Linked DNA regions of Macaca mulatta. The protein of the gene in region 2 interacts with the protein of the main gene of each other region in a biochemical or structural test. Links are inferred from orthologs where the notes say so. Each region holds a gene or a part of one and is shown on either strand. Other genes may lie near its edges.

Evidence for each region.
Region 1: of the proteins of RIPK1 (region 2) and BIRC3, one has a biochemical effect on the other in vitro, tested with the Homo sapiens proteins (5 studies listed by BioGRID, with this or other methods). The link is inferred for Macaca mulatta from reciprocal best matches to the Homo sapiens genes RIPK1 and BIRC3.
Region 3: of the proteins of RIPK1 (region 2) and OTUD1, one has a biochemical effect on the other in vitro, tested with the Homo sapiens proteins (2 studies listed by BioGRID). The link is inferred for Macaca mulatta from reciprocal best matches to the Homo sapiens genes RIPK1 and OTUD1.
Region 4: the proteins of RIPK1 (region 2) and CRADD form a complex in vitro, tested with the Homo sapiens proteins (2 studies listed by BioGRID). The link is inferred for Macaca mulatta from reciprocal best matches to the Homo sapiens genes RIPK1 and CRADD.

Annotation. Positions count from the first base shown.
Region 1 is NC_133419.1:103,188,037-103,192,173, forward strand, and holds the start of BIRC3 (baculoviral IAP repeat-containing protein 3), read left to right. Parts: upstream 1-1,307; 5' UTR 1,308-1,422; intron 1,423-4,137. UniProt on the Homo sapiens protein: Multi-functional protein which regulates not only caspases and apoptosis, but also modulates inflammatory signaling and immunity, mitogenic kinase signaling and cell proliferation, as well as cell invasion and metastasis.
Region 2 is NC_133409.1:180,192,739-180,196,952, reverse strand, and holds the start of RIPK1 (receptor-interacting serine/threonine-protein kinase 1), read left to right. Parts: upstream 1-1,415; coding exon 1,416-1,673; exon of another isoform or gene 1,674-1,756; intron 1,757-1,873; exon of another isoform or gene 1,874-2,007; coding exon 2,008-2,023; exon of another isoform or gene 2,024-2,196; intron 2,197-2,403; exon of another isoform or gene 2,404-4,214. Other genes in the region: uncharacterized protein LOC144340588, read right to left, coding at 878-1,417. UniProt on the Homo sapiens protein: Serine-threonine kinase which is a key regulator of TNF-mediated apoptosis, necroptosis and inflammatory pathways.
Region 3 is NC_133414.1:24,895,105-24,899,341, reverse strand, and holds the start of OTUD1 (OTU domain-containing protein 1), read right to left. Parts: upstream 2,907-4,237; 5' UTR 2,510-2,906; coding exon 1,067-2,509; 3' UTR 1-1,066. UniProt on the Homo sapiens protein: Deubiquitinating enzyme that specifically hydrolyzes 'Lys-63'-linked polyubiquitin to monoubiquitin.
Region 4 is NC_133416.1:100,999,353-101,003,678, reverse strand, and holds the start of CRADD (death domain-containing protein CRADD), read right to left. Parts: upstream 2,824-4,326; 5' UTR 2,728-2,823; intron 1,434-2,727; 5' UTR 1,428-1,433; coding exon 1,130-1,427; intron 1-1,129. UniProt on the Homo sapiens protein: Adapter protein that associates with PIDD1 and the caspase CASP2 to form the PIDDosome, a complex that activates CASP2 and triggers apoptosis.

The DNA.
Region 1 (4,137 bases), on a different chromosome or scaffold from region 2:
ATCTATGTTTACATTTTGTAGATTACTGACATGTACAACAGCTTTATGTTTTAATGTTAAGTTAAAAATGGGCAAGGGAATGCAGAGCTTTTTGAAATTCTTCTGGTGAGTACATAATCAAAAATGTGTAAGGCCCACAAATTATTTTCCATAATCTCAGGAGTGAGTTGAAAATGGCTTAGAAAGTCTTGATTGAAGCAGACTCAAATGTGGATTAAAGTCTCCATATGATAAATACACTTAGTCTTTCTGAAATAATTCCAACTGGAACTTCAGTTGCTATGGACAGCCAAGTCCACCTAAACCAGAAGATGCCTCAGCTCAGTCCATTGTGTGCAGAATGCACTGGATGCTGTTTCCACAGAATGATGAAGGACCAAATAATCTTTATGGGCTCTGCCTCTGGTTGGTAACTGTCTTTGATCTACTGGAAGACAGAAAATCAGATGAGCTCTCCCAAATCCATCTCTTACCCTGGTATGGATGGCTCTCAGATAAAGTTGCTTAAAGTTACTACTTAGAGAACGTTGAGGAAAATATGGCAGTGCAGTTAGACTCGAAGATGTCAGGTTTCCCTGAGAATGGCACTGCAACTCAGACACCTGCCCTGTGAAATCAAAGGCTATAAAGGAGGGATTTTTTTAAGTAGCCAACTCCACCATACTTATTAAAAAAAACAACAACCCAAAACTCACCAAACAAAACAAAAAGTATTTCAATACAGAAAATTAATAAAGCAATTTCAATCTTTAAAATGGTAAAAATAAACTGCAAAGGAGAACTGCATGATTTTTTTCACATACCCCTACATTTCCTTTCACCTCTTACTTTCTTGATCAGAACAAAAAGTAAAAATAAATAGAAAGATTTCACAAAGTTTCGAATTTTTTTTTTTAATGCTGGACTTCTGCAGCTATAGTAGAAGATTGAAAACCCGAACCTTTTTACGTGTAAAGTGTATGGCAGATGGAGGGTGAATAGGGCATATTGACCTTTTCCAGGCAGGCTGAGCAATGACCGTCCTCTCTGTATGGGTTGTTATCAAGATTTCCTCTGGCCCACGAGCAATGAAGCAAATGTCTTTCAGTAAATGCCGCGCAGATAGGCCACGGTTAAAAGTCATGCTTTTGGGTCATGGAAATCCCCGAGCGGGTTTGCCAGGCCACTGATTAAGAGGAAGTGTCTGTGGTTATTACCCCTGGAGTTCCCCTAAGTCCTAAAAGGAAAGCACCAGTGCACATGCAAACCACTGGGAGGAGTGCGGAACGCCTGCTACGGGTAGGGGTGGGGATTTGGGTGACGCATTTAAAGGACAGCGTGAGACTCGCGCCCTCCGCACGGAACAGGCCGGGCGACAGGTGTCGCTTGAAAAGACTGGGCTTGTCCTTGCTGGTGCATGCGTCGTCGGCCTCTAGGCAGCAGGTGGGCGAGGAAGGCTGGGGTGTGCGTGCGTGTGTGTGTGTGTGTGTGTGCGCGCGGGCAGCAGGTGGGCGAGGAAGGCTGCTGTGTGCTTGTGTGTTTGTGTGTGTGCGTGCGCGCGCGCGCCTCCCCTGGGGTAAGAGGTGTGCCAGCGGGTGGCCGAGGGGTGCTCAGGGCTAGAGCGCTGCAGAGGTTGAGAGTCAGTGGGTGGGGCGCAGTTATCAAACGTCAGGGCCCAAAGGCAGGCTCTAGATAGGTTCCAGGTGCTCAATTTCTATTTTACCTTTGGAGTGAGCCAGTGGAATTGTGCAGCTGTGTCATTTTGATTCGGTTGCCAAGAGTTATCACTGGGCCTTTGCAGGTGCCAAATAAATTTCAGGACCGAGCCTAACACAGAGCTCTGGCACAGGAAGGAAGTAAAGTGTTTAATGAGCAAATGGAGGCATGTTTCCAACCTGTGGTAGGAAGACAGCAGTTTTTGGTTGTCTTCCTGGTGATCAGCATGGAAACCCAGAAGTGCTCTTACTCTGATCAATACAGTGTCGAAGGCATGTACCTGATGCTAACGTAACAATAATATTAACTATTGACTTTATTTGCTATTATGTATTGCTAACATTAAGTACTGCTACCTGCTATATGCTAGGTTTCTCTCTGAAGAATTTACATGTATTTTTCACGTTTAATTATCATAATCTTAAGGAGCAGAATTATCTCCATTTGACAGTGAGGAAACTGAGGCTCTTGGAGATTTACTTGTGCAACGTCATGCTTCTGGTTACCGGGCTGCTTGGTACTGAGCACCCCAGATGTCTGACTCCAAAGCCTGATCCTAATCAATCACTGAGTAGACTCTGTGGTCATTAATGTAAAATTGATAGAAGTACTGTGGTCACTCGGGGCTCAGTCACATTTGCTAACATTTATTCCTTCAACGGGAAGTCTTTGTGTCTACCCTGTATGCCAAGCTCTGCAGATGCTATGAGTGGGAGGGCAGGTACAGAGATGAAACATATTAATAGCTGCGGTTCTAAAATACCTTACTGTCTAGGGGGAGGCAGAAAGAAAAGGCACACTTGCCCTCCAGTGTCATAGAAATGGATGTGCCGCGTGCCCAAAGGGTAGGGATGCCCAACAGCCCTGGGATTGGGGAGGTTGCTTTCTTGGTAGGTTAAATGGAAGAGTCAGAAGACGAAAGGTTGGGGACTGAGCCAATCTGAGAAGGAGCCACTAGAAATGAAAGAAGAATCCCAAGAGCTTGGTATCAGAGAAGCCCAGGGAATGGGACATTTCTAAGAGGAAGTGTGCCCCAACGTCAGATGCAAACATTTCCATTTGTTTTGGCAAAAAAACCATTGGTGTTATTAATACTGAGAGCAGTTTTAAGTGATGCTGACTTAATGAGTAAATGGGAGAGGGAAAATGGAGACATTAACCGTACACACATGTCCAGTTTGCTTGGCTATGAAGGGAAGGGGCGATACAGGGTAGTTGCTACAGTGGGAAGTGGGGTTGAAAGGGGATTTTTTTTTTTTTTTTAGACGGAGTCTCACTGTGTCACCCAGGCTGGAGTACAGTGGCGCAGTCTCAGCTCACTGCAACCTCTGCCTCCTGGGTTCAAGCGATTCTCCTTCCTCAGCCTCCCAAGTAGTTGGTAGTAAAGGTGCACGCCACCATGCCTGGCTAATTTTTTGCATTTCTTTTTAGTAGAGATGGGGTTTCACCGTGTTAGCCAGGATGGCCTTGATCTCCTGACCTTGTGATCCACCCGCCTCAGCCTCCTGAAGCGCTGGCATTACAGGCATGAGCCACCGCACCTGGCCGAAAGAGAATTTTAAAAATTTCTTTCATTTGAGAGTTGAGATAGATTTAAGCATGGTTGTTATGTGGAAGGAAAAGGGCCAGTTGAGAGTGAGAGGAATGAGAGTTGACGCAATGAGGGAGATGGGATTAAGAACAAGACTTCTGAGGCAGTAGGAGAGTTTAGGATCCCATAAGGGGGCAAGTCTTTAACTGAGGCAGCAAGTAGGTTGTGAGCCAAAAAGGCTTGGATATGAGAATGTGAGGCGGTTCCTGCTCAATGATATCTCTTTTCTTTGAGAAATAGAAGGCAAAGCAATGGACTGAAAATGAGATGGAGTGCAGTGGAGAAATCTGAGGAAGGTGTTGAAGGTTTAGAAGGGTGCATAGGGCAGTGGGCTAGGGGGCTGAGCAGGGCGAAAAGGAATTGCTAAGGGGTGGCAAAGGAGTCTTAAGTGATGCTGGTCCCAGTCTGCAGGGCTGCATCTAGGTGTTGGAAATTGTTAGGACAGAGGCTGAAGTGATCTGGGGTTGACATCTTGGCATATTTTTGTATATTTATTGTATAGTTGTTGCCTGAATTTCCACAAATATATACCTTGCTGGAGTGCAGTGGCATGATCTTGGCTCACTGCAACCTCCACCTTCTGGGTTCAAGTGATTCTCCTACCTCAGTCTCCTGAGTAGCTGGAACTACAGGTGCGTGCCACCACACCTGACGAATTTTTTTTGTATTTTTAGTAGAGACAGGGTTTCACCATGTTGGCCAGCCTGGTCTCAAACTCCTGATCTCAAGTCATCTGCTTGCCTTGGCCTCCCAAAGTGCTGGGATTACAGGCGTGAGCCACCACGCCTGACCTAAAGCTTCTTTAGGATAAGATTTGTGTAAGGGGTTTGCAAACTCAAATGGAGGTGATA
Region 2 (4,214 bases):
CAAGCTAGGCACCTAGGGTATAAAATTGAAGGAGGCTCTGATTCTCAGGGCCACGCAAATGCAGGGCTGGCACCTATGAGTGTGGCCCTCCTGAAATGTTGTGCCTTAGGCACCTGGCTCTCCCTAATTCAGGCCCTCAGGAGAAAGCCCTAATTCTGGTCAGTTCGCAACAGGAGGACACGGCTTCTGGGAGACACTCGGTGCTCCAGAGAGAGGCATTTGGTCCGTTCTCTTCCTCTGGACGTCACCGTGCCGACATGAAATGCTTCCAATTGCGTCCAGCCTAGGATGGAGCGGGGTGGGGGGGATATCTGGTGACATTACGAACTGCTGCATCAACTCCCCCGAGTCCCTGCCTCTGGACCCCCGAGAGAGGACACAAGGAGTGTCCGGAGCCCATGTGACTCAGTGTCTCTTCCCATCACTTCGCGGGAAAATGGGGCTGCTTACACCGCACCGCAGCCCAAGCACCTGTGGCTGGAGAGGGGCTCGGGCGCCAGGAGTGAGGAGCCTGGTTCTGGGCCCGGGACCGGTACTAGTTAGTGGTGGGACCTGGAACAAATGGTACTAGTTAGTGGTGGGACCTGGAACAAATGGTACTAGGTAGTGGTGGGACCTGGAACAAATGGTACTAGTTAGTGGTGGGACCTGGAACTAATGCTTTGCTTCTAAGTGAATCCCTCATATTCATGACAAGAGGCGTGGAACACAGACCCATGGGGCCTTCCCACTGGAACATGGAGCTTGGCTGTCACCCGACTTCGCTTCCTGAGGTAGAAAAGCCCAGGGTTCCAGGCTCTGTCTCCTTTCCCGCAGACCCCTTGTTTCTTGGCGCGGAGGCCCTGGGCCCCGCAGGCTCCCACCCACTTCTCTGGGCTCAGAACTTCTCTGGGTTCAGAACCCGATCCCGAAGCGGCCATGGTGCTGCCGGTGGCCGAGGCCGGGCGCGCGCCTTGGGAACCTGGCTGGCCTCAGGCTGGCGGGAGCATTCGCGGACCTCGCCCTGGGCCGGGAGGACTGGGGGACCCTGGCCTGCCCCTTCCCCTAGCCCTGACCTCGGCCACCACGCGCTGGTCCCGCCAGGCTCCGCCTGAAGGCAGAAAGCGGGGCGGGGGGGGGGGGGCGCCCGATCCTGCGGTATAAAAGCGGTGTCCGCAAAGGCCCTAGTGGGAGTCCGCGGCGAGCGCAGCAGCAGGGCCGGGTCCTGCGCCTCCGGGATCGGCGTCCAGGCTCGGAGCGCGGCACGGAAACGGCGGCGGCGCTGGACCAGGCGGTAGGTGCGGGCGTCCCCGCGCAGGGCGCTGCGGGTGGCGAGGCTGGGTGCGCGCCTCGGGAACCTGGCTGACCTCAGACCGGCGGGAACATTCGCGGACTTCGCCCTGGGCGGGGCGAACTGGGGGGACCCTGACCTTCCCATGTTCCTAGCCCTGCCCTCCGCCACCGCGCGAACGCGCGCGCCTCCCAGGATAGTCCCGGCAGGCGCAGCCCCAGTCAGGCGGCTTGTCAAGTATGGGAGGAGCCTAACAATCCCAGACAGTTTAAAAGGCGGTGCCCGCCAAGGCCCGAGCGGGAGTCCGCGGCGACAGCAGCAGCAGCAGCAGCAGCAGAGTCACGTCTTGGGCCCTGGGGATCGGCGTCCAGGCTCGGAGCGCGGCACGGAGACGAGGTGGCAGGTGAGGGCGTCCCCGCGCTGGGCCGGGGTCGGGAACGGGAATGGCGAGCTTCAGGTCCCCCGGCTGCCACCGAAAGATGAGACCTGAGGACAGGAGAGGTCGCTCATCCAAGAGCCCCGGGGAAGCGGTGGTGTCTCGGCGGGTCAGGAACGGTCTCTGGGGGGTCCCCTGCAGCGCGCAGCCGGTTTCCGCCTCCGCAGCTCCCCGCCAGCGCGGACGCCGCCCTCCCCCACGCCTCCTCGCTGCCCTTCTCTGGCCGAAGCTCTCCCCTGCAGCCCCTCCCCACCTGCCAGCCCTGTTTTCTCACTGCTCCTCTCTGCTCTGGGATCCGCAGGATGACGTCTGTCCCGGTACTTCTCTTTCAAAGTCACCAGTCTCCAGTTCCAAATCCGAGCACTCTTACCCATCCTAATTCTTTCAATAATTCAGCGAAACGGATGGGGCCCGTCCTTCCCCGGAGCATATTTCCAGGGACTGTGAATCCGCGAAGCCAGGCTCAGCCGTCGCCTGCAGGGCCTGCGGTCTGTGGGGACCGCCAGCAAGATGAGGAGTCACCTTCGGGACGAACGGTCGTGCTGGGGAGGGTTGCGCCGGCGGGGTCAAGGGAACCTCCTTTAGGGTGGGAATCAAGCCTCCAGGCCGCGGTGTTTGAGGGTGAGTAGAATTAATCCCGTGATGGACATGGGGCCTTGTAAGGGGGACCAGGAGTTTGTGAAGAGGTGACTTTGGGAGGGGTTCAGGATGGCCAGAGGTGGAGGCTGTGACCTGAGCGAGGCTGGATCAAGGGAGGGGGCAGGTGGAGAAGAAACCGTTTTAACAAGGTGGCTTTGAGCGGATCCTAAGGGTTCTGGGAGATTTAGGAGGAAGGCCAAGAGGATTAAGACACCGCTTTCTGAGGATGTTGTGTGGCTGTGGCATGGTGGTGGCTGAGGGAAGCGGGTTGTCTTCATTGTCCAAGGCTCTCCAGTGCTTTGCGTGGCGTTTTGGGGAGCACACATGAGGTGTCCCGACAGTGAGGAGTGGCTCTAAGGTGAGCAGAGGCTCGGGAGGGGGCCTGCGCATTAGGCCAGGCACAGGATCCGAAGTGGAAAGAAATGTGGGCGAAATGTGGGCGTAGAGGGCAGGCCTTGGGGATGGGTGTGGGGGACGAGGGGGATGGAAAGGGGTCAGGGAGGTCTCCCAGGCTCACCTGGAGGAGTGAGGGTCTCATTTCCAAGGGCACTGGGAACTGCAGCCTGGGGGTGGGGGTTCATTTGGTTTCAGACCTGTGGCGAAGAGACCCACCCCCTCACATTCACACTTTGGCTTCCACTAGCTTCAGAGGTAGTACTAGCTCTTTGTTCTCGCTGGTTTTCCTTCCTCACCTTGGGCTGTTTCTTGCCTTTTCCATTCTGGTGTTCTGCAAGGACCAGTTCCTTCGTCTCATGTACCATCTACACTCATGGCTTTTGCTGGGAGTAATGAGTAAAGCTCCCAAATAGATGTTTCTGAGTTAGAGCACTGAAAACAAAATGAAGCAAAAACAATGCATTTCCAATCTTCCAAGATCACATGATGTCCAGAGGACAGTGATGGGCAATGACTTTTTGTCTTCCCCATTAGAATGCAAGTTCCACAAATGGAACACGGAGATTTTTATTTATTTATCCTTTTTTTTTTTTGAGACGGAGTCTTGCTCTGTCACCCAGGCTGGAGTGCAGTGGTGCAATCTTGGCTCACAGCAACCTCCACCTTCTGGGTTCAAGCAATTCTCCCACCTCAGCCTCCTGAGTAGGTGGGTCTACAGGTGTGCGCCACCACGCCCAGCTAATTTTTGTATTTTTAGCTTCATCATGTTTGCCAGGCTGGTCCGTAACCCCTGAGCTCAGGCAATCCACCCGACTGAGCCTCCCGAAGTGCTAGGATTACAGGTGGGAGCCACTCCACACAGCCAGAACAGAGATTTTTTATGTTTAATTCACAACCGAGGCTTCACTGCCTAGAACAGATGCTCAGTAAATATTTATTGAAGGAATGAATTCCTTTTTGTATCTCTTGTATCTATCACCAGATACTCTTGTATCTAGTACCTATTTGGCATACAGTAGAAAGCTTTGTTGAGTGAATAGCTCTGCCTTTCGTCTTTTTTGGTATGTATACATCTTTTAAAAAATAATGAATAGACTTTTAGAGCTGTTTTAGTTTACAGCAAAACAAAGCAGAAAGAAAATATCCCCTCCCACAAACATCCTGGACTGTATAGCCTCCCCTACCATCAACATCCTGCATTAGTGTGGGGTATTTGTTACACCTGATGAACCAACATAGATACACGGTTATAAAAATGAACCAATATGGATAAAACATATACATTATCAGTCAAAGTCCAGAGCTTGTTAGGTTTTGCTCTTTGTGTATATTCAAGATACATTTGACAAATGTATAATGAGATGTACCCAACACTGTAATATCAGATTCCACTGCCCTAAAAATCCCTTGTGCTCCACCTACCTATCCCTCCTTCCCTGCAAATCCCTGGCAACCACTAATCTTTTTTACTAT
Region 3 (4,237 bases), on a different chromosome or scaffold from region 2:
ATAGATTTTAAGTTGGAAACATTGTTTGACCCAGCAAACCATACAAGCTCTGTTTACAGACATTTCTACATTAATACAGGGCAATCCTATTTCACCTTCTGAAAGAATGTAAAAGAAATATTAAGACAGTGTTCTCCTGCTCTAACTGCCAAGGGTGGCTCCAGACATTTATGCCATTAGTTTATAAATCTCTTAGTTGGATCCAAGAAGTTAAAGCAGGAGGCTTATCTTGTCACAGAGTTTTATACCATATTAACATTCTCTTTATAACAAAATAACAAATGTCAATAAAAACAATTGAGAGCACCAGACGATCTACTCTACATATCAACCAGGGTACAGAATAACCATTCTGCCATCAGCAAATATCAGACTTTCATTCAAGTAAGACCTGGTACTATCCCTTAAAACAGGAAAAAAAAGAAAAAAAACACCTTCCCACAACCTTCCATTAGATAATTTTCTTTAAAAGATTCACCATTTCTAGAAAAATAATGATTTCCAAAACAACAGCTCTGTTTCATCAAAATGGAATGGGCCAAACATCTGGTAACAAGAATGTTTCAATATCCATTTGAAATAATTATCTAAGAATTGTGAAATTCAAATTTCAACAACATAAAATAACTACCAAATCACAAATTCTGTTCAAAATAATACATTTCATATAAAGCACTTCTCTGGATTTATGCCTGAACACATCATAGATGAAGGTACACCAGTTTTTAAAAATGTTGTGCAAAAATACATTTTTATAGAAAATAGACTACCAGGAATGAACAAATTTACACTGTGAGAAATCAGCTTGCAAATTAAGTAGTGCTCACTTTATACAGCAAATTATAAATAGCAATAAAATCACCCAAAGCTATCATGAAACATCATTTAGGTGGCCCAGCAACCTTCAGCTCCGAGAAAACATTCAAAAAGATGATTAAGGCATTACACCTACAATAAAATCTACTAGCAAGTTTGAAAGTGCTATTACCCTGATTAGAGTTCATGTGATTCTCCAAACACAAGTTATGTATGCAATTATTCCCAGGGTGTAAGGTTTTGAGACATTTCAAGAGCATGCATTTTGTTCAATATACATTTTGGATAGGGATATGGCCATAGATTTGGCAAGTTCTTCGTCGCGTTTCCTTTGCACTTGAGTTTGTTTGCACCAGTTGTCGTACTCTGGGTTAGGATAGGAGTGATCAAATACAGCATCATAGTGTCCGTTACTGAGCCAACTGAGCCAAATACTAGGCCTCAGGGAATCCTCTGGGCCCAAATAATGAATCATAGTAGACACCGTGGGGCTCTCCAGCCTCCCTCCAGTAGTTAAGTGGATATTCACATTCAGCATCTGCCCCATGGCCAGCAATTCCGGGTACCCAGCCCATGCCCCGTCTTGGGCAGCAGCGATGATAAACTCCCCCACGTCGCCCTCAATCAGGGGGCTGAAGTGGTCGAGATGGTCGGCGATATAGTGCACCGTCTGCTCCCTCAGCTCCCGGTGCAGGCTCTGGTCCCCATACACCGTCTTGCTGACAGCTCGGTAGAGGCAGTTGCCGTCGGGAATGATGTGGAATCGGTACTTATTCCTCTGCCGCAAGTACTTGTCCTGCTTCTCCACCTCGGCCAGGTACAGGGCCAGCTTCTCGTCTCTGGGATCTGACCTGGAGACGATCACCGGCTCCGCCGCGCTGCTCGGGGCGGTCTCGATGCTCCGGGCTGGGGGTGCCTCGGCCTCTGGGTCGGGCCTCCGCGCCGCGTCCCCACCGGGAGCGTCGCAGCGGTCGCCGCCCCTCTCCCAGCCCCTAGGGCCCCTTTCCACCAAATGCTCTTCGCCCCACGGACCGGGGTCGGGGCTCCCCGGGGTCGGCGCGGGGCCTCGGTGCTTGGCGGCGGCCAAGGCCTGGCGGTGCTCGCTCAGTCGGAAGTTCCGATCGGGCCCCTCCCGTGTCGCGTCCAAGCCCGCGGACTCGGGGCAGTCGGGCCGCAGCAGCTCCTCCAGGAGCCAGGCCGAGGAGCCCCGCCGCGGCGGGACCGGGGCTGCGGGCGCTGGGGCCAGCAGGAGGCAGCGGCCGCGCGGGGCAGCGGCGGAGCCCGCGGTGCCGGGAGCGGGCTCGGGCCCGTGCAGCAGGAGCCTGTCGGCGCCCAGGGCCCGCACGGTGATCTGCGCGGTGGACGTGTAGTGCGGCGGCAGCGGCGGCTTGCAGGACGCGCCAGGCGGGCCGGCGGCGGCAGAGGCGGGCGCGGCGGCCCCGGACACCACCTCGAAGCAGGAGGAGAAGGCGGGCATCTTGGCGGCGGGGACAGCGGCGGCTTCACGGTGCTCGGCGGCCGCGGCGGGCTGGCACTCACCGGTCTCGGGCTCGGGCGCGGCGCCGGCGGCTCCCGGGGGCTGCAGCGAGACCTTGAAGGTGGGGGCGGCGGCGGCGGGTGGCGCGGGGGCGGCGGCCGTGGGACCCGGTGACCCGGAGGGGTAGTGGGTGCAGACGCTGCTGTAGAGCTGCATGTCCCTGCCCGCCGCTCGGCCCCTTATAGGCGCGGCGAGCCCCGGAGCGGGGGACACACCCTCCGGGCCCGGGGGAGGGGGCCGGCGGAGCGCGGTGACCCAACGGCCCCAGAATAGAGATGAGCGCAAGGCCGCTGGCCGCCGCGCGTCAGCAGCCGCGAATAGCGCCCGGGTCCCGGCCAAATTCCTGCTGCGCCACAGCGTGGGGGGGGCGGGGACGGGACGCGAGCTCGACTCCTGCCGGTGCGCTCAGCCCGCAGACCCGGGGCGTCGCGCCCGCTGCAGCTGCTCCGGCCTGCGGCGGCCGCTGGGGACTCACGGAGGAAGCCGCCCGCCTCGTTGGAGCGCGTCCTGCCGGCGAGGAGGAGCGCGGTGCGCGCGGAGGCCCGGGAGGCGGGGCCGCGGTTGTTTACCTCAGGCCTCGCGGCCGCGTCACGTGGACTCGCTGGAATGCGCGGCTTGTCTCGGCGCCCGATTCAGCCGCGTCGGCTCGCCCCGCCCACTCCGGCCCGCGCCCCGCCCCCTGCTCCGCTCCGCCGACGTCACGGGCGTGGCCCTCGTCGCGCGCGCGGGCGGGGCGAGGCCGGGGGCTCGGAGGCCTGAGCAGTCCGGGAATTCCTGGCTGGGCCTCCCGCCCACGTGACTCCCGCAGACCGCTTCCCCGACCTGGGCACGGGTTTCTGCGCTGCACCACTCTCCGCAGCGGCTGCAGTGGGTGCTGCGGGATGGGCGCTTCTTGGAGCGAGTTAGCATGCTCGGAAAGCTTGCTTGGCAGGAAAGCTTCTGGCATGGGTGTGGAGAACAGAATGCTGTTTGGCCTCTGCATGGTCATGGGCTACCATCCCTCCTTGCATCCACTACTGCCTCTTTTATCTTTTTAGAGATGAGGGTCTCACCTATCTCCAAAGCTGGAGTGTAGTGGCGCAGTCCATAGCTCACTGAAGCTTTGACCTCCCGGACTCAAGCGATCCGCCCACCTCAACCCAGGTGTGCACCACCGCCCCCGGCTAATTTTTTTTTTTTTTTTTTAAGGCGAGGGTCTCACTATTACAGTTGCCCAGTCTGGTATCGAACTACTGGCCTCAAGTTGTTTCCCGCCTTGACCTCCCAAAGTGTTGGGATTACAGGCCCTAGCCACCAATCCTGGCACCACGAGTCTTTTCCTCTTTTTTTTTTTTTTTCTTTTCCTTTTTAAGGCAAGGTCTTGCTCTGCCTTCCAGGCTGACTGCAGTGGCGCCATCATGCCCCACTGCGACCTCCACCTCCGAGGTCCAAGCGATCCCCCTTCCTCAGCCTTGCCTTGGGCAGGGATTACAGGTGCCCAGCTAGTTTTACCACTGCGTCTTTTCTATGCACTTCCTTGGACCCACCTGTTAAGGGTGAGTCCTCTAGTGGATTCTCCTGCCCTGCGAAGACAAAACCAACTTTTCTGCACCTCTGACCTATGTCACTTGGCAAATACCTGCTTGGGCGAAAGCAAGGAAGCCTTTTAGCCCTTTATAAACAGCCTTTCTCAGAATACCAAATGCAGTATCACCTAGGGCCTTTTGAAAATAGATGCGATTGCTAGCCAGAGGTCAAAAGCGGTAGAGAAAGTCGTGACCTGCCTTCTGGGGCAAGATAGGCTATAGAAAATACTTCTACCGAGCCTTTTTGTAATACCCACCTTTGTAAGGGAAAGCCAGAGGTAGTGGGAGACTTTTGCTGTATTCTGAGCTTTGATCAAAT
Region 4 (4,326 bases), on a different chromosome or scaffold from region 2:
TCCCAGTCCAGTTCTCTGCCCCTCCATCTTTGTAAAACAGAGTCAAGGGAAGTTAAGAAGAAGCAAGTGTTTCCATATCACATCTTCTTCCTGCTACAAGCCAGGCTAACAGAACCAGAACTGTTTCTCTCTTCTCCAGCTTCCAATTCTCCTTCAAATTAAACTGAGACCCTCCCCAAACTATTGCTCTTTGCAAAATTAAATACTCCGGTGTCTGAACAAAAGCTAAACTAAAAAGGACACTTTAAACGAATAACCTTTAAAAACAAACTAAGTCAGCCTTCAAAATAATCCCCTTTGGCCACATGGGACAGCCCAGGGGACAGGTACAGGGCTTTCCTTCCTAGAGGCTGTCTCCTACTCCATGAATCTGACCTTTTCCAGCTGGTAGCTCTGGCACCTCACAAATCACTTGTCAGTAGGCCGAATGCCTGCTTTCCCATCTGCACTTTCCAAATGGTTCCTGATGCCAACGGCTGAGATATGACCTGACTCTCTGATGAGAACATGCTTCCCAAGTGACATGCCAGGTTTCCCTGGAAGCATTTCTAAATGCATTCTCTGAGCTCCCTCCCTCACCTCCCAGTCACGGTTCATTCTTCCTTCCCTGCACTTCCTAATGCCACCTCCTGATCCTATGCCTCTAATGTCATGTCCCTTCAGTCCCAACTCCTTACCCACTTTCATCAACCGTTGACCCTTGTCCTGCCTTACATCCCAACTTCAAATCCAAAGGGCGGAGTTCTGGCTAGGTGTGGTGGCTCACGCCTGTAATCCCAGCACTTTGGGAGGCTGAGGTGGGTGGATCACCTGAGGTAAGGAGTTCGAGACCAGCCTGGCCAACATGGTGAAACCTCATCTCTACTAAAAATATAAAAATTAGCAGGGCGTGGTGGCGTAAGTCTGTATTCCCAGCAACTCGGGAGGCGAAGGCAAGTGAATTGCTTGAACCCAGGAAGCAGGGGTTGCTGTGAGCCGAGATCACGCCTAGCGAGATCACTGCACTCCAGCCTGGGTGACAGAGCAAGACTCTGTTTCAAAAACAAACAAACAAATAAACAAACCAAAAAGCAAAGGGCATAATTACAACATTTTGGAGCTGGTTTGAAGTGATCTTTCTGAGGCCTACCTGCAGGTAGGTCGGTCATGGCCTCTTTCCTTGCCTTCTTCAGCTTCTCCCTGACCCAGGGAAACTCCTGTAGGGAATCTAGGAATGTATCGAATGCTTTAGGGCCCCTGGAAGGTAGGATATCCAGCAGGAGCATTGTTTTCCGGAGGCCTGTGGTTTGAGCATTGATTTCTTGAACATGGTTTTCCGTCAAGATTCCCTCCTGGTAGAGGTACTGAAGAACCAGTCCCTCCACCAACACCTCTGCACCCAGCTCCAGGCGAAGTGAGCGGAGTACTTGCTTGTCTCTGGCCTCCATTTCTCCCTGGAAAGAGCCGAAATCACAGCTCAAATTACAGACACGCTGATGTGGCCCGAAAGACAGTGTCACTGCAATGTAAGTTCCTTCAGGTCAGGCATATCTTCAAACCGTGGCAGAGTGCCAGGTCATGGTATTTAATTCACGAGTTAAGCCAAGCCAAGTTAACTTTGAATGTTTCCTAACATAATGAACAACACTGAAGATGAATCATCTTTTCTGTTCCTGCTTTTCACACAGTGGGGTCCCAGCTCAATTCCTCGTTCAATAAAGAAATTTGGAAAAAGAAAAAAAAAAAAAGTGGGTCAGAGACCCTTCCGAAAAAGCAATTTTTATCTGAAGATTACAGAGCAGCATTAATTTTAACATGCTGGAGAAGAAATCGTGGTTTTATTTTAACATTGCCCTCATCAGACCTGCACCACCACCACCACCACGGCAGAAACTGCCAAAGTGGGCGCAGGTGTCCCTTTTTTGATCACAAGTATTTGCAAAACCTGATCAGTAACAGGAGTGCAGGACAGAAATCAGCAGGAACAGAGTTTAAGGCTCTTTTCGTTAAAAGTCCTCTACACCATCACCTTTAAGAAAATTGTTGTTTGTGCCCAGTCTACAATAAACCTTACACAATATATAGTCACAGACTCCATTCCTTCCCACTAAGAATTCCGAATCTCCAGCACAACACTGTCGTGGCCACACATGCATGGGACATTTTATGGGATTTTTTTTCTTTAAAACACCCCAGCGCCGGTCAGTAGCCAGGCACAATTTGAAGGTGCATTTCCACCACCCCTGCACCCATGTGCTGTGGCTTGGTTGTGTGTAAGGCAGTGAAGGTCAAGTGACCGGGAAGGCAGGTAGGGATGACATATGCGGCTTCAGATACACCCGGGCAGTACGACCACGGCTGGGCGACACCCGATCCCACACTCCCCCTCGCAACCCTGCAAAGTTTAGGAGGTGACAGGTGAGGAGGGGGAGGTGTTCACATTTGGCGGTGAGCGCCCATTGGGAACTTTTTAAAAAGTCTCTGCCTCGGCCGCTGAAATCCTTGTATCAAACAGGAAGACTACGGGCGGTTTCTGCCGCAATTTGACCCGCTAAAGAGGGAGTGCTGGGAATGAACTTAACAGCGGATCAAGGGGAGAGCGGGCCTCCGGCACTACCGCAGCCACCCAGCCTTGGCCCGGATCGGAAATGCAGAGCAAGTTAGTGGGGCGGGGAAGCCCCCGCAGGGCCCAGGTCGCAGACGCTACAATGCAGGGCTTTCAAGAAAAAATGGATTCCTGTTACTTACGTCTGCAACCACGTATCTTTGGGGCGGGGGAGAAAAACTGCAACCGGAATCCTGACTGTTAGGGAATCTGCCCCATAAGCACCATCTTTGTTAAAGGCGAAAACACAGGAAGTGTTGACACCATCTTTGTTGAGGGCAAGCACAGGAAGTGCTGTCGCCATTTTTATTGAGCGTTCAAGGGTCGGATCGAAGCTCTTCCCGCCATGTTTACTGTGGGTAAACAATTCAATCACGGGGAGGTGGACAACAGTAGCGTCACTTAGAGGGTATCTAAGTAATGGAGTCATTGAATCATTGCATTTTAACACAGTAACTACACCAGGGCCCTACACACAATTGACATAACAGAGAGGCAGGTCAAAAGTCACCCTGGTAGAGACGCCTTCTCTGACCTGATTAAAACGGCAACACAGCTGCACTCATCTCCTGCACTCCCCATTCCCTTAACCAGCTTTATTTTTTACGTATCACCATATTATTAAAACTTTTTACTTATTCACTTGTTTATCCCTCTGCTTCCCTCCATTAAAATGCAAGGTATTTATTTATATCAAGGGTTCCTGTCCGCAAAAAGTTTACAAATCTGTCAGTCAGAATTTCATTACAGCACTCAGCTAGCTACTCCTAGTCAAAAAGGGATTTGTCAGGGGGAATTCGGGACATTTGAAATGATTGGAAAGACTGGAGAAGGGCTGAACATCCATGAATGACTACAAAGATAAGATTGCCATACTGGCTCCTGTCCACAATCAGGAAGATGGCATCAGGAAGTTGCCATGCCTCGTCCCCAACCTCTCAACACCGACAGAACAATTAACAGGACACTGGAACACTGCTGCAAAAAACCGTGGTCTCCACGGCTGCATTTGCCAGCAGCATGAAAACAGCACCTGCAAATATTGCTCTGCTGCGTGCAATTGGTGAGATCAATTTCACATGCAGAATATTAGCAGCAAGGATGTCTAGAGCATGTAGTTTATAGCTTTCCAGCTTGAGAAACACAAAAAGGTGTAGTAAACGAGGGAAGGGCTGATACTAAAGGCCTATCTATTGCATCCACCACATTTTCAATTTGGAAAGCAAGAAAAAATGCATGACCCAAATAGAAACACAGAAATGCCAAGTTGGGTGTCCTTCCTCACATTCCTTTGTGAAGTGAGGCAGTCGATCAATAAATACATTCATTGATTCATTTTTAAATCAATTGGATGATACATACAAAAAGTCATATGCTTACTAAAAATTAGTTGACAATACAGGGGGAAAAACTCCTGAAATATTGTTTCTGCAAAGGTTTTCATAGCCAAAACCTTTGGTGGGAAATGAAAATATCTTTGTAAGCAAATCAATGGAGAACAGTTCTGAAACTCTCTCCTCAAAACCTTCTAAAAATTGTATCCACTGTACAGTGTTACTATGCCAGTTACCATTTTACTACACCATTAATGACAGTATTTTTACCTATGTGGCAAGTATTATTATTACAGTCATGCATTGCATAACAATATTTGGGTCAATGACAGACTGCATATATGATAGTGGTCAGAGCAATAGGCTATGCTGTATGGCCTAAGTATGTAGTAGGCTATACCATCTAGT